Linked DNA regions of Pelodiscus sinensis. The protein of the gene in region 1 purifies or fractionates together with the protein of each later gene. This does not show direct contact. Links are inferred from orthologs where the notes say so. Each region holds a gene or a part of one and is shown on either strand. Other genes may lie near its edges.

Evidence for each region. The genes of interacting proteins can lie anywhere in the genome.
Region 2: the proteins of STX6 (region 1) and SNAP23 purify together in Homo sapiens (affinity purification with mass spectrometry; 3 studies listed by BioGRID and IntAct, with this or other methods). This does not show direct contact. The link is inferred for Pelodiscus sinensis from reciprocal best matches to the Homo sapiens genes STX6 and SNAP23.
Region 3: the proteins of STX6 (region 1) and STX12 purify together in Homo sapiens (affinity purification with mass spectrometry; 4 studies listed by BioGRID and IntAct, counting the BioPlex papers as one, with this or other methods). This does not show direct contact. The link is inferred for Pelodiscus sinensis from reciprocal best matches to the Homo sapiens genes STX6 and STX12.

What each region holds. Positions count from the first base shown.
Region 1 is NC_134719.1:58,740,296-58,750,369, forward strand, and holds the start of STX6 (syntaxin-6), read left to right. Parts: upstream 1-5,802; 5' UTR 5,803-5,941; coding exon 5,942-5,976; intron 5,977-10,074. UniProt on the Homo sapiens protein: SNARE promoting movement of transport vesicles to target membranes. Targets endosomes to the trans-Golgi network, and may therefore function in retrograde trafficking.
Region 2 is NC_134714.1:66,550,362-66,561,008, reverse strand, and holds the start of SNAP23 (synaptosomal-associated protein 23), read right to left. Parts: upstream 4,591-10,647; 5' UTR 4,429-4,590; intron 1,759-4,428; exon of another isoform or gene 1,637-1,758; intron 1-1,636. UniProt on the Homo sapiens protein: Essential component of the high affinity receptor for the general membrane fusion machinery and an important regulator of transport vesicle docking and fusion.
Region 3 is NC_134735.1:22,765,540-22,775,318, reverse strand, and holds the start of STX12 (syntaxin-12), read right to left. Parts: upstream 4,591-9,779; 5' UTR 4,419-4,590; coding exon 4,310-4,418; intron 1-4,309. UniProt on the Homo sapiens protein: SNARE promoting fusion of transport vesicles with target membranes. Together with SNARE STX6, promotes movement of vesicles from endosomes to the cell membrane, and may therefore function in the endocytic recycling pathway.

The DNA.
Region 1 (10,074 bases):
ATGTAAATTGATACACATCTGCACTCAAGGGCACCCTCCCTGACTGTACAGTACTGCCATGCACACAGTAAACACATCTTCTTTTGTCAGTCACTGCTGGCTGTACCCAACAGTGTAGTTAGTCCTCCTAGAGCCCAGGAACTTCCAGCTGAAAGTCCCGCTGGGCCTCTTCTCTAGTTCTCGCTTGTTCAAGGAGCAGAGAGACCTATGGAGAAGCTGTGCAGGAGCCAACATGAGATTTAAGGTAGGAAGAGCATAGAGTGGAACCATTTTTTCACAAGGAAATAAGAGTAAGCAGAAAGAGCCCTGCACATCTAGCGCCACTCACTCGTCCCCTTCCTGTTTTGGAAGGGACGTGCAGCCCAGAGCTTCCTCTCTTGCTTGTCCCTCTCCCCCCCATCCCTCCTCCTTTCAGCCCAAGCCTCTCTCTGCTACTGAAATGGGTGGAGGAGCAGGGCTCCAAAAGTACAGTACAGGCAAACCCTGTTCTGTAGTAGACTGTGGAGAATGTAGCGAGGCAGGACAAAGAAGTTGAGCCGGCCTAACACAGATGTACTTATTCAATGCACCATTGTTGAGAGCTCTGCCTAGAGAACACCCTGTGGCTGAAATATAAGGAGACTTTCCCCTGTTAAATGCTAGTGAGCCATGTGCTACTGGCAGTTTTGAAACATTTATAACAGGCCACATGTGGGTGGATTTTCACAGGGACAGTAAAAGGCGTCTCATGGGTCTGGCCTACGAAAGCTCATCACCTAATAAACCATCTTGTTAGTCTTTAAAGTGCTACATAGTTCTGTCTCTTGTTCCCTGAACCCAGGACTCTCTCTTCTCACATTTCAAGTCCCTGCTCCAAAACAAGAAGGCATCAGAACTTCTTAAAAACATGGCTGTAAGGGGTTTTGTTTGTCTATGGTGTCAAAGCCATTTCATTCTTGGAAATGGCTACCTTGGTTTTGCTAAAACTCCCCACAAAATTCAGTCTGAGGTTGGCATCTGACACGATGGACACTCTCCAGTTTGGCAAAATGTAACCGACATCAGAGTGCCATAATGGGAAGTATTAGGCAATCCTGAATACAGGCAATGGGAAGTATTAGGCGCGCTTGAAACCAGGCAATGGGAAGTATTAGGCACTCTTGGAAACAGGCAATGGGAAGTATTAGGCACTCTTGGAAACAGGCAATGGGAAGTATTAGGCGCTCTTGGAAACAAGCAATGGGAAGTATTAGGCACTCTTGGAAACAGGCAATGGGAAGTATTAGGCGCTCTTGGAAACAGGCAATGGGAAGTATTAGGCAATCCTGAATACAGGCAATGGGAAGTATTAGGCGCGCTTGAAACCAGGCAATGGGAAGTATTAGGCGCTCTTGGAAACAGGCAATGGGAAGTATTAGGCTCTTGGAGCCAGGCAATGGGGAGTATTAGACGCTCTTGGAGCCAGGCACTGGGGAGTATTAGGCTCTTGGAGCCAGGCACTGGGGAGTATTAGACGCTCTTGGAGCCAGGCACTGGGGAGTATTAGACGCTCTTGGAGCCAGGCACTGGGGAGTATTAGGCTCTTGGAGCCAGGCAATGGGGAGTATTAGACGCTCTTGGAGCCAGGCACTGGGGAGTATTAGGCTCTTGGAGCCAGGCAATGGGGAGTATTAGACGCTCTTGGAGCCAGGCACTGGGGAGTATTAGGCTCTTGGAGCCAGGCAATGGGGAGTATTAGACGCTCTTGGAGCCAGGCACTGGGGAGTATTAGACGCTCTTGGAGCCAGGCACTGGGGAGTATTAGGCTCTTGGAGCCAGGCAATGGGGAGTATTAGACGCTCTTGGAGCCAGGCAATGGGGAGTATTAGGCTCTTGGAGCCAGGCACTGGGGAGTATTAGGCTCTTGGAGCCAGGCAATGGGGAGTATTAGACGCTCTTGGAGCCAGGCAATGGGGAGTATTAGACGCTCTTGGAGCCAGGCACTGGGGAGTATTAGACGCTCTTGGAGCCAGGCAATGGGGAGTATTAGGCTCTTGGAGCCAGGCAATGGGGAGTATTAGACGCTCTTGGAGCCAGGCAATGGGGAGTATTAGGCGCTCTTGGAGCCAGGCAATGGGGAGTATTAGACGCTCTTGGAGCCAGGCAATGGGGAGTATTAGACGCTCTTGGAGCCAGGCAATGGGAAGTATTAGACGCTCTTGGAGCCAGGCAATGGGGAGTATTAGGCTCTTGGAGCCAGGCAATGGGGAGTATTAGACGCTCTTGGAGCCAGGCAATGGGGAGTATTAGGCTCTTGGAGCCAGGCAATGGGGAGTATTAGGCTCTTGGAGCCAGGCACTGGGGAGTATTAGGCTCTTGGAGCCAGGCAATGGGGAGTATTAGACGCTCTTGGAGCCAGGCAATGGGGAGTATTAGACGCTCTTGGAGCCAGGCACTGGGGAGTATTAGGCTCTTGGAGCCAGGCACTGGGGAGTATTAGACACTCTTGGAGCCAGGCACTGGGGAGTATTAGGCTCTTGGAGCCAGGCACTGGGGAGTATTAGACGCTCTTGGAGCCAGGCAATGGGGAGTATTAGACGCTCTTGGAGCCAGGCACTGGGGAGTATTAGACGCTCTTGGAGCCAGGCAATGGGGAGTATTAGACGCTCTTGGAGCCAGGCAATGGGGAGTATTAGGCTCTTGGAGCCAGGCAATGGGGAGTATTAGACGCTCTTGGAGCCAGGCAATGGGGAGTATTAGGCGCTCTTGGAGCCAGGCAATGGGGAGTATTAGACGCTCTTGGAGCCAGGCAATGGGGAGTATTAGACGCTCTTGGAGCCAGGCAATGGGAAGTATTAGACGCTCTTGGAGCCAGGCAATGGGGAGTATTAGGCTCTTGGAGCCAGGCAATGGGGAGTATTAGACGCTCTTGGAGCCAGGCAATGGGGAGTATTAGGCTCTTGGAGCCAGGCAATGGGGAGTATTAGGCTCTTGGAGCCAGGCACTGGGGAGTATTAGGCTCTTGGAGCCAGGCAATGGGGAGTATTAGACGCTCTTGGAGCCAGGCAATGGGGAGTATTAGACGCTCTTGGAGCCAGGCACTGGGGAGTATTAGGCTCTTGGAGCCAGGCACTGGGGAGTATTAGACACTCTTGGAGCCAGGCACTGGGGAGTATTAGGCTCTTGGAGCCAGGCACTGGGGAGTATTAGACGCTCTTGGAGCCAGGCAATGGGGAGTATTAGACGCTCTTGGAGCCAGGCACTGGGGAGTATTAGACGCTCTTGGAGCCAGGCACTGGGGAGTATTAGACGCTCTTGGAGCCAGGCAATGGGGAGTATTAGGCTCTTGGAGCCAGGCAATGGGGAGTATTAGACACTCTTGGAGCCAGGCACTGGGGAGTATTAGGCTCTTGGAGCCAGGCACTGGGGAGTATTAGACGCTCTTGGAGCCAGGCAATGGGGAGTATTAGACGCTCTTGGAGCCAGGCAATGGGGAGTATTAGACGCTCTTGGAGCCAGGCAATGGGGAGTATTAGGCTCTTGGAGCCAGGCAATGGGGAGTATTAGACGCTCTTGGAGCCAGGCAATGGGGAGTATTAGGCGCTCTTGGAGCCAGGCAATGGGGAGTATTAGACGCTCTTGGAGCCAGGCAATGGGGAGTATTAGACGCTCTTGGAGCCAGGCAATGGGAAGTATTAGACGCTCTTGGAGCCAGGCAATGGGGAGTATTAGGCTCTTGGAGCCAGGCAATGGGGAGTATTAGACGCTCTTGGAGCCAGGCAATGGGGAGTATTAGACGCTCTTGGAGCCAGGCAATGGGGAGTATTAGGCTCTTGGAGCCAGGCACTGGGGAGTATTAGGCTCTTGGAGCCAGGCAATGGGGAGTATTAGACGCTCTTGGAGCCAGGCAATGGGGAGTATTAGACGCTCTTGGAGCCAGGCACTGGGGAGTATTAGGCTCTTGGAGCCAGGCACTGGGGAGTATTAGGCTCTTGGAGCCAGGCACTGGGGAGTATTAGGCTCTTGGAGCCAGGCACTGGGGAGTATTAGACGCTCTTGGAGCCAGGCAATGGGGAGTATTAGACGCTCTTGGAGCCAGGCAATGGGGAGTATTAGACGCTCTTGGAGCCAGGCACTGGGGAGTATTAGGCTCTTGGAGCCAGGCACTGGGGAGTATTAGACACTCTTGGAGCCAGGCACTGGGGAGTATTAGGCTCTTGGAGCCAGGCACTGGGGAGTATTAGACGCTCTTGGAGCCAGGCAATGGGGAGTATTAGACGCTCTTGGAGCCAGGCACTGGGGAGTATTAGACGCTCTTGGAGCCAGGCAATGGGGAGTATTAGGCTCTTGGAGCCAGGCAATGGGGAGTATTAGACGCTCTTGGAGCCAGGCAATGGGGAGTATTAGGCGCTCTTGGAGCCAGGCAATGGGGAGTATTAGGCGCTCTTGGAGCCAGGCAATGGGGAGTATTAGACGCTCTTGGAGCCAGGCAATGGGGAGTATTAGACGCTCTTGGAGCCAGGCAATGGGAAGTATTAGACGCTCTTGGAGCCAGGCAATGGGGAGTATTAGGCTCTTGGAGCCAGGCAATGGGGAGTATTAGACGCTCTTGGAGCCAGGCAATGGGGAGTATTAGGCTCTTGGAGCCAGGCAATGGGGAGTATTAGGCTCTTGGAGCCAGGCACTGGGGAGTATTAGGCTCTTGGAGCCAGGCAATGGGGAGTATTAGACGCTCTTGGAGCCAGGCAATGGGGAGTATTAGACGCTCTTGGAGCCAGGCACTGGGGAGTATTAGGCTCTTGGAGCCAGGCACTGGGGAGTATTAGACACTCTTGGAGCCAGGCACTGGGGAGTATTAGGCTCTTGGAGCCAGGCACTGGGGAGTATTAGACGCTCTTGGAGCCAGGCAATGGGGAGTATTAGACGCTCTTGGAGCCAGGCACTGGGGAGTATTAGACGCTCTTGGAGCCAGGCACTGGGGAGTATTAGACGCTCTTGGAGCCAGGCAATGGGGAGTATTAGGCTCTTGGAGCCAGGCAATGGGGAGTATTAGACACTCTTGGAGCCAGGCACTGGGGAGTATTAGGCTCTTGGAGCCAGGCACTGGGGAGTATTAGACGCTCTTGGAGCCAGGCAATGGGGAGTATTAGACGCTCTTGGAGCCAGGCAATGGGGAGTATTAGACGCTCTTGGAGCCAGGCAATGGGGAGTATTAGACGCTCTTGGAGCCAGGCAATGGGGAGTATTAGGCTCTTGGAGCCAGGCAGGGCTGCCAGCTGCAGTCTACCCTTAGGGGACACATGAAGGACTAAACGGGGCAGGGGCCAGATGGGGCAGCCAGAGCCTGGCACTGCAAGAGGCTCCCCCCCCGCCAGGGGATCTTCTGACCCAGAGGCGATGCCAGGCCCCTGCCGTGGCTGGAGGGGGCAGCAGATCCCCCCAAGCCAGGGGTCCCCTGTGAGCCCTGGCAAGCCAGCAAGGATGGGGGGAGGGTGCATCGGGCTGGCACCGCAGGCAGCTGCAGACCCCCACGTGGGTGCGAGGTGCGTGCAGGGCGGGGCCATTCTGAGGGGCCCGTCGCCCCGGGCCAAGTCGGAGGCGCGGCGCGTGCGAGCTTCGAACAGCGATGCGCACCCGCAGCGCCTGAGGGATTGGCGGGAAATTTGCACCCTCCCCCCCCTTCTCGCGGGAGGGGAAGGGGGTATATGTATGTGCGCGCGCGCGCGCGCGCGCTGTCTTGTCACGTGACAAAGAGCGCCGCCTGCCTCGCCGCCGCAGAACGCGTCCGCCTGTCACGTGACAGAGGAAACCCTTCCCCCCTCCTCCCCCGTGCAAGCGGCGACAAGGCCCCTGGGGCGCGCCCCTTTCCGTCACGTGACGGCGGAGTGGGCGGGGCCCCCGGCGGGGGCGGGGATCGGGTCGCTGTGCGGGCTCGTTCGCACCGGGCGCCTGGTGCAGCGGGAGCGGCCCCGCCCGGGCGGCCATGTCCATGGAGGACCCCTTCTTCGTGGTGAAGGGGTGAGTGGGGGCGGGGTTATGTGGGGGGGCTGGGTGTGGGGGGGGGCAGGGTAGTGTCGGGGGGGCTGAGGGGGGGGGCAGGGTAGTGGGGGGACAGTGTTATGTTGGGGGCAGGGTAGTGGGGGGCTGGGTGGGGGGGCAGGGTTATGTTGGGGGGCTGGGTGGGGGGGCTGGGTGGGGGGGCAGGGTTATGTTGGGGGGCTGGGTGGGGGGACAGGGTTATGTTGGGGGGCAGGGTAGTGGGGGGCTGGGTGGGGGGGCAGGGTTATGTTGGGGGGCTGGGTGGGGGGGCAGGGTTATGTTGGGGGGCTGGGTGGGGGGGCTAAGTAAGGGAGGAGGGTAACTGGCAGACGGAGGGTTAATGTTGGGGTGACTGGCAGGGGTGCTGAAGAAGATGGGCGGATGGGTGGAGGGGAGTGAGATGGGGCAGGGATCATCCGTACTCTCCTCACCTTTGTAAGAGGTGAGAGAATCTCTGGGGTGGAGGAATTCTTTACTTTCCCTGCTTTTCCCCACTTCCCTGGAATCTTCCACCTACTTAACCTTTCTCTCCCTATTTACCAAAGGGAAACAAATTTGTATGGGCTTCTGGCCCCACCTGCCTCATGCTCTGTCCCAAGTAGGGATGTCAACAAGTAGCCAATTATACGATTAACCAATGAGCCTAGGCTTATTGTTTAATCTTGTTGACTACATGTATGCCACCCCCTTTGCTGCCTCTGTATCAGTGTGGGGGGGGAGAGGGGTGGGAAGTGGGAGCTGGTGCCCATGAGGAACTGGTTTTAAGCAGGATCCCAATGAGCACTGGATCTGCCGCCCTTGCTCCCCTTTCCCTATGCTGCTGCCTCTGATAGAGAGGCAGCAGTGAGGGGCATAGGCTAGAACTGATACATGTGGGAATCAGCTTTCACGCCAGCTCCCCACGCGTATGGGCTCTGTGGATCTGCCTTCCCCCCCTTGCATACTGGGGTGGGCAGGTAGGAGCCAGTGGTTAGGGGAGCAAGCTTAAAAGCTGGTTCCCCCACCACAGCACCGGCTCTGTGGTTGAGCCTGCCCCCTCCATGCTGCGGTCTCAGAGGCAGCAGGGAAAGGAGGGTGCAGGAGAGGCTGTTGCAAGCAGCAGCTTCTGTTCACAGGGGGTCCAAGCTCTCTGCTCCACATACCATGAAGCAGCCTTCAGGGCAGCAGTCCCTGTCAGCAGGGGTCCCAGCTCCACATGCTGCTGCTTCCTTATCAGAGGGTATGTCTACACTAGTCCCCGATTTTGAACTAGGGAGGCTAATGCGGGCGACCAAAATTGCAAATGAAGCGTGGGATTTAAATATCCTGCTTTTCATTAGCGTGTTCCCGGGCGGTCGCCATTTTGGCAACTGCCCGAGAACATGCTAATGAAGCATGGAATGAGGTTTAACTGGCAATTCGAAATAAGGGGTTTATTTTGGAATTGCTCTTCTCTGCTGCGTGTAGACGTGGGCAGTTATTCCGGGCTAGTCAAAATGGCGGCTGCCCGGGAATATGCTAATGAAGCACAGGATATTTAAATCCCATGCTTTGTTTGCAATTTCGGTCGCCCTCATTATCCTCCCTGGTTCGAACTAGGGGGCTAGTGTAGACATACCCAGAGAGAGCAGTGCAGGGCAGCAGGCAGCCAGTCCACAAGGGGCGCTGTTTTTTAAATTGGCTCCCCTTGCAGACTGCTTCCGCATGCCACCCTGCATGGCTGCCTCTGAAGCCAGGAGTGCACTGGTTGCTGGTCCTGCCCCCTGCGGACTATTGAATAGTGGCATAACCGATAATATTTTGTGCGGTTACATGATTATTCAGTTACGGAAGCTTCGGGGGTAGCCGAGTTAGTCTGTACAGGATAAACTTAAAAAACAACAAATGGTCTGGTAGCACTTTATAGACTAGCAACATGTAGATAGTATCATGAGCTTTTTATAGACTACATGTTTTGTTAGTCTATAAAATGCTACCAATGCATTTGTTGTTTTTTAAGTTTATTCAGTTACACTATATGTAACGTCCCTAGGGTGCATGTGGGATGGGTGGCCACACCTCCAGCAGCAGATTTGCTCCCGTGGAGGTACAAGGGACTATATCATAGTCCACTGGGATGGTATGTTCTCTAATATATTGCCTAATAACCTGAGAGCTAATGTTTGTGAAGGTTACGCTGCCCACTTCCCAAACATTTTTCCAGGATACAAGTGTTTGTGATTTCTTTTAGTGTGGGCTGAGCCTAGGGTATACCAGAAATGTTTACCTTGCAGCAAGTGTGTATAGACTGCCCAGCCTATCCTTGATAAACCTATCTTGTGTTAATAGTCAATCAGTTAAACTCGGGATAAAAAAATCTCCTATGTACACAAACAATAATAGGTGGTTAGAGAATGAGATTGGGAAAAGTATTTCTTGGTTGCAGAGTTAACTCTGGTAATCGTTATTTGGGCGTGACCACTTGAGTTGGCCTAGCCCTAGTTAGAGTAACAAAACTACAGTTCTGTCAACCTAGGCAGGGATTTTGAGGAGAAAGCAGTTTTACGGATTTTGGAACCCAGCCTGCTGCAGAGAGCGTGTGGACTGGCTAATGAGTTGCCTGTTTCTTGTGGTTTATAATATTTTCAATAGTTTGGTGTTTGAAGGGGTTGCATGCATTTCTTGAGCCTGTGGCTGCCCTGGCATAGAGAGAATATTTTGCTTGAGATGAGTGGAGACAAATGGGTCGGGGGAGGAGGAAAGACCCTCATCTCAGTGGTTCTCTACTAGGCTGCTCTTACTCTGGGGATGTGCAGAGGTCTTCCTGGGTACATAAACTTAGCTATTTAACTAGTTTTACAAAAAGACTACACACAAAGCACTAGTAAAATTCATACAAATTAAATTTCATGAAGACTATGACTTGTTCATGCTGCTTCAGATGCTACATACTGAAATGTATTGTATTTATATTCCTTGATTTATAATTATACGGTAAAAACAAAAGTAGGAATTTTTCAGTAATAGTGTGCGGCAACACTTGTATTTTTGTGTCTCTTTTGCCAGCAAATAGTTTTTAAGTGAGGTGAAATTTGGGGGCACACTTGACAAATCAGGCTTATGAAAGAGACACAGTAGTGTGGAAATACTGACAGCCACTGCTCTATCCTAAGGAGACAAGTAGGCAGATGCAAGAAATAGGGTCTTTTTTTAAGGAGATTGTAGAGGGCGTATAAGTAATATGATGCAATTGTGGTGGGGCAGTGTGTCACTGCTACATGAATGCTGAGGGCTACAGACCTTAAAGTGAATTTAAATTGGGGATAATGTGCAAAAAATAGAGGGAAACCAATATTATGGGGGAGCTGCTTGCATAGGGAAATTGTCTGAGTGCTATTAATGTGGCTTGACTTGTATATGGTTGCAGAATTTGGGTTTGAAGGAGTCAAAATTTTCCAGTGCAAGCTTTTAGTTTATTATCTTAATTTCAAGTCCTAATGAAATCATGACAAGAGGAACAGATGGTTGAGAGAGAGGCAGGGAAGCAGAGGAAAAACCGGTTGTGAATATGGAGAGAGGGTAAGAGTTCACCAATGTGGATGGTAAAAATGAAACTTGCTTCAAGGATGTCTTGCTGTTAGGGAGAGAAAATAAAATACTTTGGGCTGGTAGCTGGGCTATGTCCAGTCAAACTTCACAGAATGTCTAGTAGGAGGGTGGAGACTTGCTGATACAGTGAAAGAAGGGGTTTAGGTTCTCTTGTGCTGTCCCCTAAGATGACATAATTCTGCTTGTGTCCGCCTCAGATTTAGCTCTGAGGATAGTCTTTTAGTTGATATTTAAGTAGATTTTTTTCCAAATATATTGGGGTACAAAATAAAGATACGCACACTGTCTTCCTCTTATTTCGAATTTGTATTCCACGGGAATAAGACTGACATTTGCTGGTAGACATTTGCTACTTATCCTCTTACCCTAAACAATTAAATGATGGTCCTAGTGCCATCAGAAAAGCATGCATTTCCATTATATAAATTGAATGTGCTTTTCCATGAAGCTTGTGGCAGCAGCAAAGGCAGTTCATATTTGACTGGTAATATTAAAATAATCAGGGCCATG
Region 2 (10,647 bases), on another chromosome or scaffold:
CCATTCTCTAATCCATATCTAACTTTATATACAAGACATACAGATCCAGCAGATTGAGACATTAGAATTGATCGGTTACATGAGGTATCCTGTCCAAAGCATCTTCAAGTTTAGCATATTTGTATCCAAGACCATTTCAAAAAGCGTGGAGGGGAGGGGGAAACTGTCACAATCACTGTGCCTCTGGACCTGTGTCCCCTGCAGAGCCTTCCTAAGCAGCTTCTCCAACTCCTGAAGTGTTGTGAGGAGCAGAATGGATGTAAAACATTTTTTCCTAGATGAATACTGAACTAATATCACAATATGGATTACTAGTGGGCATCATATTGCTGAAGGCATAGTTTTGCCCATTACTCACAACACCAAGGATCAATCTCACTTTGTCATTAAGCACCCAATGTCATTTTTCATGACAAAAGGAGTATTAAACACTGGGGTATTAGGTTTTCTGAGCCCACTATAATTACATAGCACTTTCCTAAGTTCTTTTCAAATTCTACTTGATAGATTATTCATTTGACTGCACCGTTGCAGTGTGCTATTAAACCATAATTGTGTTCCATCCCAAATGATGGGACAGACTGGTGAAGTGATTCTGCAGTATCTTATGTTCTTCTCAAAAAATGCTACCAACCTCAGATACCTAAAAGTTCATAAAATACAGGACTATGTAGCACTTTAAAGATTAACAAGATGGTTTATTAGATGAGCTTTCGTGGGCCAGACCCACTTCCTCAGATCAAATAGTGGAAGAAAATAGTCACAACCATATATACCAAAGGATACAAATAAAAAAAGTTCATAAAGCACCTCAAGACATTTGGATAAGAACTAGGGAAAAAGCTGTTAAATATCTATATAGCTTACAGAGGTTGCTGCCTTATCAGTTTTCTGATGGGGAGGCAGGACCCATCAATTTTAAGTTCTAAGCCAATGAAAACCAGAATTTTTATTTCTTTCAAACTACCTGACAGCATAGCATTACTCTACTGAAAGAGAGTAAAAGGATCTCACTTATTTGGACCTGCAAGAAAGAATATCAAATTAGTTATTTAAAACCTAACACGGAACAAGATACATGCCATTTATCACATGCTCTACAGCTAGAGCAAGCTTTGATAAATACAAGCACTGTTTGCTGGTGCTGCAAAAGCAACAAACAGCAAGAGGGTTCCAAGTTCCTCAGAACCTTTCCTTCTGTCATCACCTACTCTAGTAACCATCCCAAACTCTTTCTGCAGAAACAAAGGGCTCTATAAGGAAAAAGAAACAAGTTGCTCTTCTAAATGCATCCTGAAAAGAATGCTGATATTCTTCAGTGTGAACTGACAATGGTTAGGAACTTTAGGAAAAGAATAGATAAGGCAGAAAATATAATGCCTCTATATAAAATCCAAGATACTCCCACATAGAACCATAGAATACTAGGACTGGAAGGGACCTCAAGAGGTCATCGAGTCCAGTCCCCTGCCCTCATGGCAGGACCAAATATTGTCTAGACCCGTGGTCATCAACAGGTTGATTGCGATCGACTGGTCGCTCGCAAGGCCTCGACCAGTCAATCGTGAGGCATCCTGCCCAGCTCCCCTCCGCCCCTGCCATTTCCTCCCCACCCCCGAGAAGCCCCACTACCTACCTTAAGTGAAAATGGAGGTAGTGTCGGCTTCCCGGGGATGGACAGAATCCCGCTGCTTAGCACCACTAATGGCGATTACGGAAGTGCGCTAGCTGCTCTGCCAGGCGTTCTGCGGGAGGGAGCATTGGCTCCAGAGGAGGAACACAGCGACTTCTCTGCACTGCACAGGAGGGGTGAGTCAACCCTGGGGCAGGTGTGCGTGAGGCTTCCCTGCTCCGGGGTGTGTGTGTGGGGGGGGGGAAGGGGTGTCAGCCCCAGAGCTGGCACACGAGGCTTCCCTGTGTGTGTGGGGGGGGGGGAAGAGTTGGACCAGGAGGAGGCACGCACTGGCTTTTGGGGGGGGGGGGGGGGAGGAGAGTGGCGAGAAGAATCCTGGGAGGAGGCAGATGCAGGGGACTCTCTGCCTCCACTGCCCCCCCCCCGCCCCGTCCCCACTCCCCTGTCCACAGCTACAGAACTCTGTCCCCACTCCCCGAACTCTGTCCTCATTCCCATCCCGAGCCACAGAACTCTGTCCCCACTGGCACCCTGTCCCCTGCCAAAGCACCCACTAGCACCCTTCCCCAATACTATATCCCCTGTTCCCACCAACACAGTTGGGGCCACATTAGTGAAGCTTGAGGGGGATGGGGTGGAGGAGGGTTTTTTTTGCATCTCACTTGTGTGGCCCCAACTGACTTTTCTTGGGTCAGTGACCCCGGACTCAAGACAGGTTCCCTGCCCTTCTCAGAAATAAAGACAATGCAAAAAACTTTGTTTGACACAGTAGTTTATTTAAAAATGAAGCAAGGCCAACAAACCCCAAATTGGAGCCAAGCCCCCATCTGGCCACAGCATCATAACACTCCTACACTCTCCTTTCCCTCAGACCTGAGCCTATCATACACCAGAACCCCCTGCCCTGAGCTCCTCACATACCCAAACCCAAATTCCTGGATGTGAGGGTTCAGAAATCTGTGGCTTGCTTAGTACCCTAACCCTACATCTGACCCCAACACTGCCCAGCCTGGCACCCTCTCCCAGAGCCAGTGTTCCCTTATCCACCTTCTCCTGCATCCAGATTTCCTCCCAAAGCTTGCACACCTCACCCCTTCCCACACTCAAATCCCTCATCCCCACCCCAGAGCCTACATATCCTGTCTCAACCCAGCAAGATTATGGCTAGACTGCAGGAGTTTTTCAGGATTCTGGAGATAGCCCAGAAAAATTCTTCTGCATCCAGGGACGCATTTGTTCTTCCACTTCTTTTAGTGGAAGAGCAAACATGATCTTTCGGTCACCTCTATATTCCTCTCTCCACAAGGAATAAGGGGGCTTCCAAAAGAAGTTTTTTTTGACATTTGGTCCAGTCTAGACAGGCCAAATGTTGGAAAAACCTCTTCCTACAGAAGAATTGGGGAAAAAAGCAGCAGTATAAGGGCTGGGGATAACAAGTGATGGAGAGAAGGAGAATACAAAGGGCAGAGCTTCAAAGAAGGGGCAGGGCTGTAGATCTTGGCTTGTTCTGTCATTTAAAAAGTGACCTTGGGTGTGAAAAGTTTGGAGACCACTGGTCTAGACCATCCCTGATAGACATTTATCTAACCTACTCTTAAATATATCCAGAGACGGGGATTCCACAACCTCCCTGGGCAATTTATTCCAGTGCTTAACTACCCCTGACAGTTAGGAACTTTTTCCTAATGTCCAACCTAAACCTCCCTTGCTGCAGTTTAAGCCCACTGCTTCTTGCCCTATCCTCAGAGACCAAGGAGAACAATGTCTCCCTCCTCCTCGTGACACCCTTGTAGATGCTTGAAAACTGCTATCATGTTCCCTCTCAGTCGTCCCTTTTCTAAAAGAAACAAGCCAAATTCTTTCAGTCTTCCCTCATAGCTCACATTCTCTAGACCTTTTATGATTCTTGTTGCTCTTCTCTGGACCTTCTCCAATTTCTCCACATCTTTCTTGAAATGTGATGCCCAGAACTGGCACAATACTCCAGTTGAGGCCTAATCAGCGCAGAGTAGAGCAGAAGAATGGCTTCTCCTGTTCTGCTCACAACACTCCCGTCAATGCAGGGACTCCCAACCTGGGGTACGCATACGATACGAGAAGCTTGTCAAGGGTGTGCGGGGAATATTTGGTAAATAACTAGATTATCCTAATTGAAATATTCCAAAAGTAGCAGTGTTAGTGAAAAAAGTTGTGGATTCTAGAGTCTAGAATTTATTTCTTTTCATATTGAATAGGGGGTACGGGAAGGTTTACTAAAAGCCAAGGGGGGGTACAAGGACCGGAAAAGTTGGGAACCCCTGCATTAATGCATCCCAGAATTGTGCTTGCTTTTTTTGCAACTTTTTTTTCCATTGCAAAAAACACTGGAATATTACCAAACACTAGAGACCAAAAAACCCATAGATCATCACACAAGGCTATCTTTATGCGGCTGCATGGGGCACTACTAAGTTTGGGGCACCAGTGCTCTATGCCGCGTTTATCAAGTAGGTAAGACGGGCAGTGTTGGCCCCGGCGGCCCCATCCCCTGGTCCCCATCAGCGCCAGCTGCTCACCCACTGCACCTCACAGGGGCCAGTAGTGGTGTCACCCCCGCTCCCGCCGGGATCCCGCACTAGGGCCGGACGCGCGCAGAGGGAGCCAGCCCGGGGGGGGGGGGGGGCAAGAGCGCTCTCCAGCCTAGCCCAGAGCACCTCACCAGGACTCCGCGCCACCCCACCCCGCCTAGGGCAGGACAACACAGGCCGCCCCGCTCCGACCGGGCGCCACACCCGGAGGTTTCCGCCTTTTCCCACCTGCAGCTGGCGCCTCTCACAGCCACCGCCAAGTCCGGAGCGCGAGCGGAGCCGTCGCTTTAATGCTCCATACTGAGTCTCGTCGCACCAGCAACACCTGCCCGGCAGGCAGAGCCACCGACCCCGCCCGCCCCACCGGAACTGGAACCGGAACTCAGCACCGCCCACCTGCCGGCAAACCAGGAAGAGCCACATTCAACATGGTGGAGAGAAAGGCACCTCGTGGGCCACACTCAGCATGGCGGCTGGCCCCATTGTCGCGACCGCCACCCAGCAGAGCGAGAAAAGAGCGAGCCGCGCGGACTCGCACAATCAACATGGCGGAGAGCGGAGGTCAGTCGACCTAAGCCGGAACACCGAGCTAGCTCCGAGCATGCGCGCTGACTGTCAGTCTCTTTCCTGCTCTCAGCAAGCGGGGCCGGGTCTGCAGCAGCGACCTTTGTTCTTCCCCAGCGATGCGGGATCCTGCTTGTCTCCTGCTCTTGGATGTTGACGCTGGGTTTCTGAAATATTTTTGTTTGTCTTATGAGCCTTGTCGTGCCTCTTGTCTCAGCTTCAGTCCCAGTGCTAGTCCCCAGCCTGGGCAGGCAGGAAGCCTGTAGGGTGATTTTTCACTCGTTTGTAAGGACTTCTCTTGATTGGTGTCTAACATGTCAAGTCCTACATGTAAAAACCATAATTATTTTGTCTTGTTTTTCAATTTGCGCTGGTTAGGCCTCAGTTGGAGTATTGTGTCCAGTTCTGGGCACATTTCAAGAAAGATGTGGAGAAATTGGAGGGGGTCCAGAGAAGAGCAACAAGAATGATTAAAGGTCTAGAGAACATGACCTGTGAAGGAAGGCTGAAAGAACTGGGTTTATTTAGTTTAGAAAAGAGAAGACTGAGGGGGGGGGGACATGATAGCCATTTTCAGGTACCTAAAAGGGTGTCATGAGGAGGGAGAAAACTTGTTCATCTTGGCCTCTGAGGATAGAACAAGCAGCAATGGGCTTAAACTGCAGCAAGGGAGGTTTAGGTTGGACATTAGGAAAAAGTTCCTAACTGCCAAGGTAGTTAAGCACTGGAATAAATTGCCCAGGGAGGTTGTGGAATCTCCGTCTCTGGATATATTTAAGAGTAGGTTAGATAAATGTCTATCAGGGATAGTCTAGACAGTATTTGGTCCTGCCATGGAGGCAGGGAGTGGACTCGATGACCTCTCAAGGTCCCTTCCAGTCGTAGTATTCTATGATTCTATGATTTTGTATGTGTGTGAATTTCCCCAGAATATGTAAGGGAGATCAGGAAATGTACCAAAGTTTCTGAAACTGCAGACTAGAATCAATAACACGACCTCAAGTGTACATATAGTGAATGATAACACTTCCCCTTCCCCAATATAGGGGCAAATGTTAATGCCTTTATTCATGTTGAAAAATCTCTGTATCATATCAGTAGCTGTTTGCAATGTCCCTGTAGCCCTACTGGTCCCAAGATATGAGAGAGACAGGGTGGATATGGGTAGTATCTCTTATTGATCAATGTTGCTGCATGGTGCTGTGATGGACCACAGCAATTTCTGCTTCCAAAAAACTACAGTTGTCAAAAGGCAATTGCCAGTTGCTGCCCTGAGCCACAGAAACTACCATTTCCCTCTGCTTTCCTTTCAGATGAGCGAACCAAGCTTTTGAACTGATCTCTTTTTCAGTTTTATCAGTAAGACTAGTCTCAGAGTAACACACCACTTATCCTGTAAGGGTAGTGAAATAGGCCCATAATGGGAAAGAGGAATAGACAGAAAGAAAAACTACATTTGCTGGGGATGGGAAGTTACTGTTCAGAGCCAAGGAACAGATAGTATTCTATTCTATAGCAGTGTAAGTTCTACATTTAAATAGCAGTTATTCTCTTATTAGCTACTCATTAGGATTCTGTTGATTCCCAGACTGGTTGAGTCCAAGAGTCCCTCAGCAGAATATAGTCGTAAAGTAGACTGTGATGACCTAGTAAGCATATGATGCCCCTTTTTCTGATGTTGAGTTCTCCCATGATAGCCTCAGCAAAGTCTCCATGGCTTCCGGCTACTGAGCTGTTCTGCTTGTTAGTGATTTACAAGGCAAACGCCTCAGGGCTGGAGCCTTTTCCCATGTTCTGCAAAGTGCCAAGTACACGTATTGCACCATATAAAGTGCACCAGGACCCCATCCGGTCCTGTGTGATCAGCGTTGCTGCTGGCGGGCGGCAGGGTGCCGCGATGGACCACAGCAATTTCCGCTCCCAAAAAACTACAATAGCCAACAGGCCAAGCGCGGCCCTGATCCGCAGAAACGGCCGTTTCCCAGCGTGCAGGCAGTGTGCCGCGCTCGCGGATTGGCTGCGGGAGCGCACGCTCCCCTGGTCCTGCGCCGCGCTTCCCTCTCGGGTCGCGCTTCTCAGCCGTTTTCCTGGGGGAGCCGCGGCCGGCCCCGGGTAGGCAGCGGGGCCTGCTCGGTTCGAGCCGCGTGATGGGCGGCGGGGCTGCCGCGCTGTCGTGGGACCAGGAGGACGCGGCCTGTGAGTAAAGTCCTGGCGGGCAGGGGCTCGGCGCCTGGAGATGCTGCTCCCTTGGAGGGGGTGGGGATCGGTAATGGCTCAGGAATGTGTGTGGGATGGGGAGCGGGTGCAGAGGCGGCGGGGCAGGGGGTGTCGGGGGAGACAGGCCGGGGGGAGGGGGTGACAGTGGGCCGTGGCTAGGAAGGCGGCGCGGGATGGCTCTTGCAGTATAGTGTGTGTGTTTTTTCTAACGCCGTTGCTCTTGATCTTTTGCCATTGGGTTGTGCAGAATTTCTCCAGCATCAAAGCAAACGCCTATTTACAGATCTTTAACTCCTCCCCGACCGCTATACTGGTATCTGAACTGTGCCGGTAGTAGCTGCCCTGCTTTATGCCCATACTCACTCTGTCACTCAGGTATGGTAGCACATCTGAAAACAGGGGTGAACTTGCATCTAAATATATCCAGTGTGTGAGGTTGGTGAAGGGTACATGTAGGTGAAAATGTTAATTTGGTCTTGTAATATGCCAAAATATCAGACACACGTTTTGGAAGATGATGCATTTTAAAGTAAGCACCTATGCTTCTAAAAAGCAACGAGTCTTGTGGCACATTATAGACCAATGTTTCCCAATTTTATTTGGCCACAGAACTCTTTTAAACTTGAAAGAATTTTGCAGAACCCCGAATAACAGTCTAATATATGGAGCTGAAAAAGTAGACCACAAATAAGTAAGGAAAATAATAAACAAATGCTAAACAAGGTCACGAGATCAACATTTAGTTTAATTGCACATATCTAAAAAGAAAACTCATATAATATTAATTTTTTTAATAAAAAATGTTGTTGTAATGGAATTTTCTCATGGAACCCTTATTTTCACTTCATGGAACTCCTGGGTTCCATGAAATACCATTAGGGAAACACTGTTACAGGCAGTCCCCGAGTTACGCGGATCCGACTTACGTTGGATCCGCAGTTACGAACGGGTCCCTCCCTCTCCCTGGTCTCCAGCAGACCAGGGAGAGGAAGCAAAGCGGCGGAACATGCGGGCAGCGGACAGCACAGACGCGTCTGGGCTGTCCGCTGCCCGCGTGTTCCGCCGCTTTGCTCCCCGTCCCCCTGGTCTGCAGACCAGGGGGACGGGGAGCAAAGCAGAGCAAAGCTGCGGAGCCTGGGGTTCTTAAGTTGAATCTGTATGTAAGTCAGAACTGGCATCCAGATTCAGCCGCTGTTGAAACTGATCAGTTTCAGCAGCGGCTGAATCTGGATGCCAGTTCCGACTTACATACAGATTCAACTTAAGAACAAACCTACAGTCCCTATCTTGTACATAACCCGGGGACTGCCTGTATAGCCTAGTATCAGAGGGGTAGCCGTGTTGGTCTGGATCCGCAAAAGCGACAAGGAGTCCTGTGGCACCTTATAGTCTAACACAGGGGTCTCCAAACTACGGCCCGCGGGCCGGATGCGGCCCGCGAGGCCCTCTCATCCGGCTCGTGGAGACCGTCCCTGGGGCGCCGCCGAACGGGCCCTTCTTGCCGCGGTGGGGGGGCCCTGTCAGGGGTGTGCGGCGTGTACTCACGCCGCGCCGGGGCAGGAGAAGCGGGCCGCTCCGCTGACAAGCGGCCGCGCGGCAGCAAAGGGGGCGGGGGTTAGCACGGGCGGCGTTCCCCTGCCCAGACTGACAGGGCAGCCGGCCAATCAGGGGGCAGGATGGGCGGTGGTGGTAACGCCTGCCCGGCGACGTGCGGGGGAACGTGAACCCCGGCGGGAACTTTAAAAAGGTGACCCCTGATTTAAATCAATATTAAATTCTTTCAGATCTCTCCTAAAACACCAGATCTAGTGCCTAAAATCAGCTTCTAGGTGAGGAAAAACGTTAATTTTTAATGCTTCATTTGTCCCTTGCTCCTTTTAAGTATTTTTCTCACTCTCTGGATTTCTTCTCGCTGGCCTGAAGGGTGAGTTTTCCCCAGTGCATTAATGCAGTGCCCCATAGCATGTGCCTGGCATGCTGCGAATTTGTTTTTGGAACAAGTACAGGCCAACAACTTGACGCACTTTCAGCAGTGCAAGGTCTTCATGGCTGAAGCAACAGCTGAGTTCCCCACGTCTGAAATATGTGAAGAACAATTTGAGAACAAACTTGTCCGATGATAATCTCAGGTCACTGTTGATGTTAGGGACAACAAATCTAAAGCCAGAAATGTCTGCTATTTTGGCATCCAGGAAACAATTTCACCATTCACACTAATACAGGTGTTCATGTGTAGTGTATCAATGTGTTATTAAATAATAACTGAATAAAATAATATTAAATAAATAATTAAAAACAACATCCATGTTTTGATTGTTTTTTATTTGGACCTCAAGTGTGTAGTCGGCCCCCGAACTGCTGTTTGATAGTTAATGCGGCCCTCGGGCTGAAAAGTTTGGAGACCCCTGGTCTAACAGATGTATTGGAGCATAAGCTTTCATGGGCAAAGACCCACTTCATCAGCTGCATGTAGTAGAAATTTCCAGAGGCAGGTATAAATATAAGAATAAAGCTAGAGATAACTAGGTTAATTCAGTCAGGGAGGATGAGGCCCACTTCTAGCAGCTGATGTGGAGGTGTGAACACCAAGAGGAGAAACTGCTTTTGTAGTTGGCTAGCCGTTCAATCTTTGTTTAATCCTAAAATGATGGTGTCAAATTTTCAGATAAACTGTAGCTCAGCAGTTTCTCTTTGAAGTCTGGTCTTGACGTTTTTTTTGCTGCAGGATGGCTACCATAGACTAACACATTTGAGTGTACATTTTCCTGGGCAAAGACACACTTTGTCAGATGCATTGGAGTGGAAATTACAGAAGCAGGTATAAATATACTAGCACATGAAAAGAAGGGAGTTAGTTACCTTATCAAGTGAAGGACCAGTATTAACTAGGCCAATTCTGTCAGAGTAGATGGGACCAACTATCAATAGTTGAGGAGGAGATGTGACTACCACTAGAGGGAAAATTGCTTTTGTAGTGAGCCATTCCCTGGTCCTAATCAAACCCAGAGGAATAGTGTTAAGCTTGCAAATAAATTGCAGATCTACAGTTTCTCTGTCACACTCCATCTCTGTGTCCTTTTATTTTTCTTTTTTTCTCTTGCTTTCTTTTTTCCTCTTCATCTGAGGAAGTGAGTTGTAGCTTACGAAACCTTATGCTCTAATAACCTAATTCATTTGTTAGTGGTTAGGTCTTATGATGGTGTCGCTTGAGTAGATATGCAGGCAGAACTGGCAATGGGGTTTGTTGCAGGGGTTGGTTTCTGAGTTAGTATTTCTGTGATGTGGTGTGTGGGTAGCTGGTGAGTATTTGCTTCATGTTGGGGGTCTGTCTGTGAGGATTGGCCTGCTTTCCAAGGTCTGTGAGAGTGAGGCATCATTTTGCAGGATATGTTGTATGTAGATCATTGATGAGGATTCAGCTGGGGGTTGTAAGAGATGGCAGGTGATAATCCTGTGGTTTTCCTTGTTGGGCCCATCTTGTAGTAGTTGGCTTTTGGTTAGTCATCTCACCCTGTCAATCTGTTTCCTCACTTTCTCAGGTGGATACTGTAATTTTAAGAGTGCTTGATGAAGATTTTGTAGGTGTTCATATCTCTCTGAGACATTTGAACACATTAACCCACAACAATTTTCTTTTAAAAAAAAAGTTACATGAGTTGTTCACAT
Region 3 (9,779 bases), on another chromosome or scaffold:
ACCCAGCCCTGGCCTCTCCCCCTAGAAACAGAGCTGGAAGAGACCTCAGGAGGTCATCAAGTCCAGCCCCCTGCCCAAAGCCAGACCAATCCCAACTCAATCAACCCAGCCAGGGCTTTGTCAAGCCGAGACTTAAAAACCTCTAGGGATGGAGATTCCACCACCTCCCTAGGTAACCCATTCCAGTGCTTCACCACCCTCCTAGTGAAACAATTTTTCCTAATAGCCAACGTAGACCTCCCCCACTGTAACTTGGGACTATTGCTCCTTGTTCTGCCATCCATCATGACTGTGAACAGCCTCTCTCCAGCCAGAGAAACGAGGGGACAGCCAGACTGCAGGGGGAGGGGTAGAGGGGTGTTCAGAATACCAGAGTAGAAGAGCAAATGCGCTGTTCCACAAGGAAGAAGGGGGCTTTCAAAAGGTTTTTTTGCCCAAAATGTGGCCCAGTCTGGATGGGCCAAATTTCGGAAAAGTCTCTTCCGACAAAAGTATCGGAAAAAGATACGCAAAACGCGGAGCACATCTTGCGTATCTTTTTTCGATAGACTCTCGCAGTCTAGATGTACCCGAGTATCACACTGAGAAGGAGGAAGAATCTTAAAAGATGTTTGAACAACCTGCATTTAAGCGAGCTGAATAGGATTCTTCAAGTCTATTTCTTGTTGACTATTTCAATTACAATCTTGTGACAAAGGGATTATAACGTATATCAACCCTGGCATTGCTTTCTCCTCTGAGAACAACTCATGGTCAAAATGGAGAGTGACAAATGACTCAATTCCATCATACCAGAAGAACATTACGCCCAGTCTACACAAAGATGTTGCACTATTTAACTAAACTGGTTTGTAAATCAATTTGGTTTAATTGGTGTGACTTTTTCATTTAGATTGAGGGTTGGATTGAGTCACTTATGTTGGATTTGCTCATGATGCATCCTGCAATTTATTTAAATTATACAAATTTGCATTTAACAATTTATTTTAATGTACCACCTAACCGCACACATAGTACATTTGTGGCTTTATGGAATAATTAGACACTGGAACTCAGAACCGTGTCTGGGTAGCATGTTGATCTCCTGAAGTTCTATTAGTTATGCCAGTAGACAGCTCTGTAGAGAGCTCCCTATGCACCCAGCTGAATTCTTACCCTTAGGAGCCAAACATCATAGATTTCAGACCAGAACAATTCTTGTAATAGGTCATAAGTGTAACATCTTCTACAAAGGCAAGTAAAGCTCAGAAGAGTCTTCAACATGACAGAAAGCTTTCCGATAGTACTCTATGCGCAGATGATCAAAGCCAAGAAAGGTGATGCATGTAATATCTTCTGTTTGAAACCCACACTAATGGGGGAAATTGAATACAATGAAATTGACTAATGAAAGCATTCTTGTCTAAAGCTGTGGTGTCCAACCAGTTTTGCTATAGCAAACTGGCCACACTCAACTGGCCAAATAGCCACATGTGGCTTAGTGGCTGGCCTATTGGGCACCACAGGCCTAAAGCAAACAAAATGGAAGAGTAACTTCTCTGTTACAGTAATATTGGGCATTTATATCAATTGGTAAACTCAAGCGTGACTTCTAAGTTGCTGGTGCCCCTTTATTTTATAAAGGCCTTTGATAAAACATGCCTTGACTATTTTGAGAAAGATTTGTGCTAGTTCTATGCCTCATGTGCTGCTGTGTTGACACAGATCAGGTGAAATGGTGTAAGAGCATAGAAGTAGGAGGATTATATTCGGTTTCATCCAACTGGCCATGAGAAGACAAAGCAAAGTGACAATACTGGGGAACAGGAGGGGGAAGAAAACAAAAAATTAAAAAAAAATCATTCTAATTTTGTCTTGTGCTTCCTGAGTTCAGTTCATTCCCATATCACCTGAATCGCACCATCAGTATACATGTAAAGAGTCCAGGCCTCCAAACCCTTATTCAAGGTAAACTTGAGCTTGTAAGTGCTTCTATGCAGAGATCGCATTGTACTAGGGATGTTAAGAGGCGGGTATTGAACTAATTGAGTAGTCGATAAAAATTCTATCAGCTACTTGATTAGTTGATAGGCAGCCTGCTCAGTCCTGACTCCTGGCAGGTGCAGGACCAAACCTCACTGTGGCTCTGCAATTTAAAAGGCAGTAGGAGCCAGGCAGCCTGCCCCCCCCCCCCCCGGCTCCTACTGCCTTTTAAATTGCAGAGCTGCCTTGGGGTTTGGTCCTACACCAGGTCCGTGGCCAGGACTGACCTGCTGACAGGGGTTGCTTTGCAGCAGCAGCAGCAGCCGCCCCTCCCCACTGCAAAGGGCAGGATGGGCAGCACTGTGGAGAGAGTGCTGGGGGGAAAACCAGCTTTTAAACCGGCTTCTCCCCACTACTACCTCTGATACAGAGGCAGCAAAGGGTGGGGGGCAGAAATGCGAGTAGTCCACTCCCTAGGCTGTGGGAACACAAAGTTTACAGCACTTCCTGGCTAAATCCTGATCTGGTTGTCTGGGTACTATGGTTATAATCAAGATCAGGCTACAAACTTGCCATCTAGTTTGCTAGAGGGAACTGTGATTTTTCACAAGAAGCAAAGGGCTTCACAGGAGAAGATCTGAGATGCTTATTTCTCTCCCGCAATGGAAACTGCTTTATTGCACATCTATGAGAGGAAGAGAGCTTGCAGGGAACCGTCCCTTGGAAGAGTCGGGGCGGACTAACAGGCCTTAAGCAGAGGCCACCACGGGCTGCAGGGGTGACCAGCTGTGGCTATTGACAAAGCGCTCGAGGTACAGGGGGTGCCTGGGAGCCGCCGTGGGGCTGACAGCACGGCCAGGGCTTGGGGGGCCGCTCCCGGGGGCCCAGCCCGGACATAGGGGAGGCGGGCGGCTGGGCCGGCTCCGGGAGGCAAATGGGCGATAGGCGGGCGGGCCGGCCCCCCCCCGAACCGAACCAGGTCCCTCCCCGGGCCCCCCGCCGGACCCCCCCCCAAACCGAACCAGGTCCCTCCCCGGGCCTCCCCCCCCGGACCCCCCCCCGAACCGAACCAGGTCCCTCCCCGGGCCTCCCTCGCCGGACCCCCCCCCCCCCCGAACCAGGTCCCTCCCCGGGCCCCCCGCCGGACCCCCCCCCGAACCGAACCAGGTCCCTCCCCGGGCCTCCCTCGCCGGACCCCCCCCCCCGAACCAAACCAGGTCCCTCCCCGGGCCTCCCTCGCCGGCCCCCCCCCCCCCGAACCGAACCAGGTCCCTCCCCGGGCCTCCCTCGCCGGACCCCCCCCCCGAACCGAACCAGGTCCCTCCCCGGGCCTCCCTCGCCGGACCCCCCCCCCGAACCGAACCAGGTCCCTCCCCGGGCCTCCCCCGCCGGACCCCCCCCCCCCGAACCGAACCAGGTCCCTCCCCGGGCCTCCCTCGCCGGACCCCCCCCCCGAACCGAACCAGGTCCCTCCCCGGGCCTCCCTCGCCGGACCCCCCCCCCGAACCGAACCAGGTCCCTCCCCGGGCCTCCCTCGCCGGACCCCCCCCCCCCGAACCGAACCAGGTCCCTCCCCGGGCCTCCCTCGCCGGACCCCCCCCCCGAACCGAACCAGGTCCCTCCCCGGGCCTCCCTCGCCGGACCCCCCCCCCCCCCCCCGAACCGAACCAGGTCCCTCCCCGGGCCTCCCTCGCCGGACCCCCCCCCCCCCGAACCGAACCAGGTCCCTCCCCGGGCCTCCCTCGCCGGACCCCCCCCCCCGAACCGAACCAGGTCCCTCCCCGGGCCTCCCTCGCCGGACCCCCCCCCCCCCGAACCGAACCAGGTCCCTCCCCGGGCCTCCCTCGCCGGACCCCCCCCCCCCGAACCGAACCAGGTCCCTCCCCGGGCCTCCCTCGCCGGACCCCCCCCCCGAACCGAACCAGGTCCCTCCCCGGGCCTCCCTCGCCGGACCCCCCCCCCCGAACCGAACCAGGTCCCTCCCCGGGCCTCCCTCGCCGGACCCCCCCCCCCGAACCGAACCAGGTCCCTCCCCGGGCCTCCCTCGCCGGACCCCCCCCCCCCGAACCGAACCAGGTCCCTCCCCGGGCCTCCCTCGCCGGACCCCCCCCCGAACCGAACCAGGTCCCTCCCCGGGCCTCCCTCGCCGGACCCCCCCCCCCCCGAACCGAACCAGGTCCCTCCCCGGGCCTCCCTCGCCGGACCCCCCCCCCCGAACCGAACCAGGTCCCTCCCCGGCCCCCCCTGCCGGATCCCCCCGCCGAGCCGAACCGGGCCCCCCCCGCCGGGCCGAACCGGGCCCCCCCCGCCGGGCCGAACCGGGCCCCCCCCGCCGGGCCGCACTCACTGCACTGGGCGATGCGCTGCACGTTGGCGCTGCAGGTCTGGACGATGGCGCCGAAGTCCCGGGCCGGGGGGCCCGCGGGCCGGCCCGCCTCCAGCGGCCCGTAGGACATGGCGCAGCCGGGCTGGGCGCTGGCTCCGGACGGGGCAGGCGGGAGCGCAGCTGACCAGGGCAAAACACCGCCGCGCCACTGCGCACGCGCACTGCTACCGGCACTAAGGCCCACCCCGGGCGGCGCGTGCGCACTCGCTGTCTCTCAGCTGCGGGCTGGCAGGCCCTTGGGCGCCATGGTTACGGGCCCGGAAGGGGTGAAGACCCCGCCTTGCCCCGCCCTGCGCGCGGAGCTCAGCTTGCACTGCGCCTGCGCCATGGAGGTCCGGGCCTGTCTCGCGGAGCCTGGCGAAGGGGGCGGAGCGAGCCTCCCAGCGACGATGGACTGGATGGGAGCAGCAGAGCGCACATAGCCCCGCCCCCGAGCGGGCTAGCTCCGCCCCCTCCCCAGCCGGGCCTAGAGCCCTGCGAGCATGGAGCCGCCCCTCCCCCTATTAGCAGGCACTGGCCAGGGGCGGGCAGAGGCCGCGAGCCCAAGGCAGGACCAGCCCGGCTCCATCATCCCGGCCAGGGCTGTGTCAGCGAGACACACACCTCCAGGGACTGAGCCCCCCCAGGGCACCCAGCCCAGCGCTTCCCACCGCCTGGGGACCTGCCCCCCTGCAACTGGAGCCCATTGCCCCTTGTCCTGCCACCCGCCCCCCCTGAGACCAGCCTCTCTGGAACCCCCCTTCAGGAACGTGCCGGCTGCCCTCAAATCCCCCCTCGCTCTTCGCTCCTGCAGATAAACAAGGCCAACTCCCTCAGCCTCTCCTCAGAGGTCATGTGCTCCAGCCCCCTCATCATTTTGGTCACCCTCCCCTGGACCCTCTTCAATGTGTCCACGACCTTTTTGTAGTGGGGGGCCCAGAACTGGACACAATACTCCAGATGTTGACTCAACAGAGCTGAATAAAGGGGAATAATGACATCTCTGGATCTGCTGGCAATGCTCCTCCTAATGCACCCTAATATGCCATTAGCCTTCTTGGCTACAAGGGCACCCTGTTGATTCATATCCAGCTTCTCATCCACTGTAATCCCCAGGTCCTTTTCTGCAGAATTACTACTTAGCCAGTTGATCCCCAGCTTGTAACTATGCTTGGGAATCTTCCATCCCAAGTGCAGGACTCTGCACTTGTCCTTGTTGAACCTCATCAGATTTCTTGTGGCCCAATCTACTAATCTGTCCAGGTCACTCTGGACCCTAACCCTGCCCTCCAGCATATCTACCTCTCCCCCTAGCTTAGTGTCATATGCGAACTTGCTGAGGGTGCAATCCATCCCTTCATCCAGGTCATTAATAAAGATGTTGGGAAGAAGGATCCAAGAACTCGGAGCGCAAGTGGTGTTCTCGTCCATCCTCCCTGTTGAAGGGAAAGGACTGGGCAGGGATCGTCGAATTGAGGACGTCAATGCGTGGTTGCGCAGGTGGTGTCGCAGAGAGGGCTTTGGTTTCTTTGACCATGGGACTCTGTTCCGGGCACAAGGATTGTTAGGAAGAGATGGGATCCACCTAACGGAGAGAGGAAGGAGCATCTTCGTGGGCAGGCTTGCAAACCTAGTGAGGAGGGCTTTAAACTAGGTTCGTCGGAGGACAGTGACCAAAACCCTGAGGGGAGTGGGAAAGTCGGATACCGGGAGGAAATGCAGAGAGGAAGGAGCAAGAAAGAAGGACCCCTTTTCAGCTTTTGCGGAAATTCAAGCGGCCAGTGTAGACAGCTGGCAAGTTTTTCCGGAAAAGCGGTTGATTTTCCGGAAAAACTGGCCAGTCTAGACACAGCCCTGGAGTATTGTGTCCAGTTCTGGGCCCCCCACTACAAAAAGGATGTGGGTGCATTGGAGAGGGTCCAGTGGAGGGCAACCAAAATGATTAGGGGGCTGGAGCATATGACTTATGAGGAGAGGCTGAGGGAGTTGGGTCTGTTTAGTCTGCAGAAGTGAAGAGTGGGGGGGGATTTGATAGCAGCCTTCAACTTCCTGAAGAGAGGTTCCAGAGGATGGAGAGAGGCTGTTCTCAGTAGTGACAGATGGTAGAACAAGGAGCATTGGTCTCAAGTTGTGGTGGGAGAGGTCCAGGTTGGATATTAGGAAAAACTATTTCCCTAGGAGGGTGGTGAAGCACTGGAATGGGTTACCTTTAATCACCCTGACATCTGTTGGGAAACCAATACAGCAGTACACAGGCAATCCAGGAAGTTTTTGGAGAATGTTGGGGATAACTTCTTGGTACAAGTGCTGAAGGATCCGACCAGGGGCCGGGCACAGCTTGACCTTCTCCTCACAAACAGGGAGGAACTAATAGGGGACGTAGAGGTGGGTGACACCCTGGGAAGCAGTGATCATGAGATGGTAGATTTCAGGATCCTGACCAAAGGAAGAAAAGAGAGTAGTAAAATACACACCTTGGACTTCAAAAAAGCAGATTTTGACTCCCTCAGAGATCTGATGGAAAGAATCCCCTGGGATGTTAACATGAAGGGGAAAGGAGTCCAGGACAGCTGGCAGTATTTTAAAGAAGCCTTATTGAAGGCACAGAAAGAAACCATCCCGACGCATAGCAAGAGAGGCAAACCTGGTAGGAGACCGGATTGGCTTACAGGGGAAATCCTTGGTGAACTTAAGCACAAAAAGAAAGCTTACAGAAAGTGGAAACTTGGACAAATGACCAGGGAGGGGTTTAAATGTATAGTTCGAGAATGCCGGGGGGTTATCAGGAATGCGAAAGCGCAAATGGAGTTGCGACTGGCTAAGGATGTGAAGGATACAAGAAAGGTTTCTACAGGCATGTCAACAAGAAGAAGGTGATCAGAGAGGGTGTGCGGCCCCTAATGGATGAAGGAGGTAACCTAGTGACAGATGATGTGGGGAAAGCTGAAGTACTCAATGCTTTCTTTGCCTCTGTATTCACGGACAAGGTCGGCTCCTGGACTTCTGTGCTAAGTGACACAAGACGAGAAGAAGATGGACAGCCCTTGGTGGGTAAAGAACAGGTTAGGAACTATTTAGAAAAGCTAAACATACACAAATCCATGGGTCCAGACTTAATGCACCCGAGGGTACTGAGGGAGTTGGCAAATGTCATTGAGGAGCCTTTGGCCATTATCTTTGAAAAGTCGTGGAGATCAAGAGAAATCCCGGATGATTGGAAAAAGGCAAATGTAGTGCCCATCTTCAAAAAAGGGAAGAAGGACGATCCAGGGAACTATAGGCCGGTTTCTACAGTCTTACCTCGGTTCCTGGAAAAATCATGGAAGGGATCCTAAAGGAATCCATTTTGAGACACTTGGATGAGAGGAAAGTGATCAGGAATAGTCAGCATGGATTCACAAAGGGCAAGTCGTGCCTGACCAATCTGATTAGCTTCTATGATGAGGTAACTGGCTCAGTGGACATGGGAAAGTCAGTGGATGTTATATACCTTGACTTTAGCAAGGCTTTTGATACGGTCTCCCACGCTATTCTTGCCAGCAAGTTAAGGGAATGTGGATTGGGTAAATGGACGGTAAGATGGATAGAAAGATGGCTAGAAGGCCGGGCCCAGCGGGTACTGATCAACGGTTCGATGTCAGGATGGCGGTCGGTTTCTAGTGGAGTGCCCCAAGGTTTGGTTCTAGGACCGGTTTTGTTCAATATCTTTATTAATGACCTGGATGAGGGGATGGATTGCACCCTCAGCAAGTTTGCAGATGACACTAAGCTAGGGAGAGAGGTAGATACGCTTAAGGGCAGAGATAGGGTCCAGAGTGACTTAGACAAATTGGAGGACTGGGCCACAAGAAATCTGATGAGGTTCAACAAGGACAAGTGTAGAGTCCTGCACTTGGGACGGAAGAATCCCAAGCATTGTTACAGGCTGGGGACCAACCAGCTAAGTAGTAGTTCTGCAGAAAAGGACCTGGGGGTTACAGTGGATGAGAAGCTAGATATGAGTCAACAGTGTGCCCTTGTAGCCAAGAAGGCTAATGGCATATTAGGATGCATTAAGAGGAGCATTGCCAGCAGATCCAGAGATGTCATTATACCCCTTTATTCGGCTTTGGTGAGGCCACATCTGGAGTATTGTGTCCAGTTCTGGGCCCCCCACTACAAAAAGGATGCGGAAGCATTGGAGAGGGTCCAGCGGAGGGCAACCAAAATGATTAGGGGCCTGGAGCATATGACTTATGAGGAGAGGCTGAGGGACTTGGGTCTGTTTAGTCTGCAGAAGCGAAGAGCGAGGGGGGACTTGATAGCAGCCTTCAACTTCCTGAAGGGAGGTTCCAAAGAGGATGGAGAGAGGCTGTTCTCAGTAGTGACAGATGGCAGAACAAGGAGCAATGGTCTCAAGTTGTGGTGGGAGAGGTCCAGATTGGATATTAGGAAAAACTATTTTACTAGGAGGGTAGTGAAGCATTGGAATGGGTTACCTAGGGAAGTAGTGGAGTCTCCATCCCTAGAGGTGTTTAAGTCTCGGCTTGACAAAGCCCTGGCCGGGTTGATTTAGTTGGGATTGGTCCTGCTAAAGCAGGGGGCTGGACTTCATGACCTTCTGAGGTCTCTTCCTGCTCTATGGTTCTATGATTCTATGCTGAACAAAGCCAGTCCTAGAACAGATCGTTGGGGCACTCTGCTAGAAATCGACCACTAACCTGACATCGAGCCGTTGATCACTCCTCATTGGGCCCGACAGTCTGGCCAGCTTTCTATCCATCTTACCGTCCATTTATCCAATCCATATTCCCTTAACTTGCTGATAAGAATATTGTGGGAGACCGTATCAAAAGCCTTGCTAAAGTCAAGGTATATCACATCCACTGACTTTCCCATATCCACAGACCAGTTACCTCATCATAGAAGCTACTGGGCATGACAGCTGGGGCAGGTCTGCGTCAGCACATGGAGGGGGCAAAGTGAGAGACGCTAATGGTGTCTGGCCCAGAGACCTGCAGCTGCTCTTTGCCTGGCTGGAGATGGGCTGCAGGGCCCTCCCCAGGTGTGAAAATCCCTGACTCTTAATGGGATTGCCCAGGGCCCAAGGAGGCACCACTCACTCACTTGCACTGTACTGGTGTAAGCCTCTGTACCTGGGGATTTGCAACATTTCCCCTTTCCTACCAGCCCCAGTAACACCCATCCTCTGGGCCCCATGTCCGAAGCACCCATGAGGCCAAACTGCTGACACACCTACAACACACTGGACCTGCGCCTGACCCCGAAGGGTTTGGTGATGATGCTGTTACTTAGAGCAATGGTCAGAACCTGAAATAGCTGGAGGGGGAGGGGGACTGCCTCTCTGCTGTCTCCAATCCCCACCGCCAAGCCATAGGGAGAAGGGTTTTCAGGTCACTTGTCCCCAGCTCCATTTCCAGTTGTTTTGGGCTGGACTGTAACTGGGTGGCTC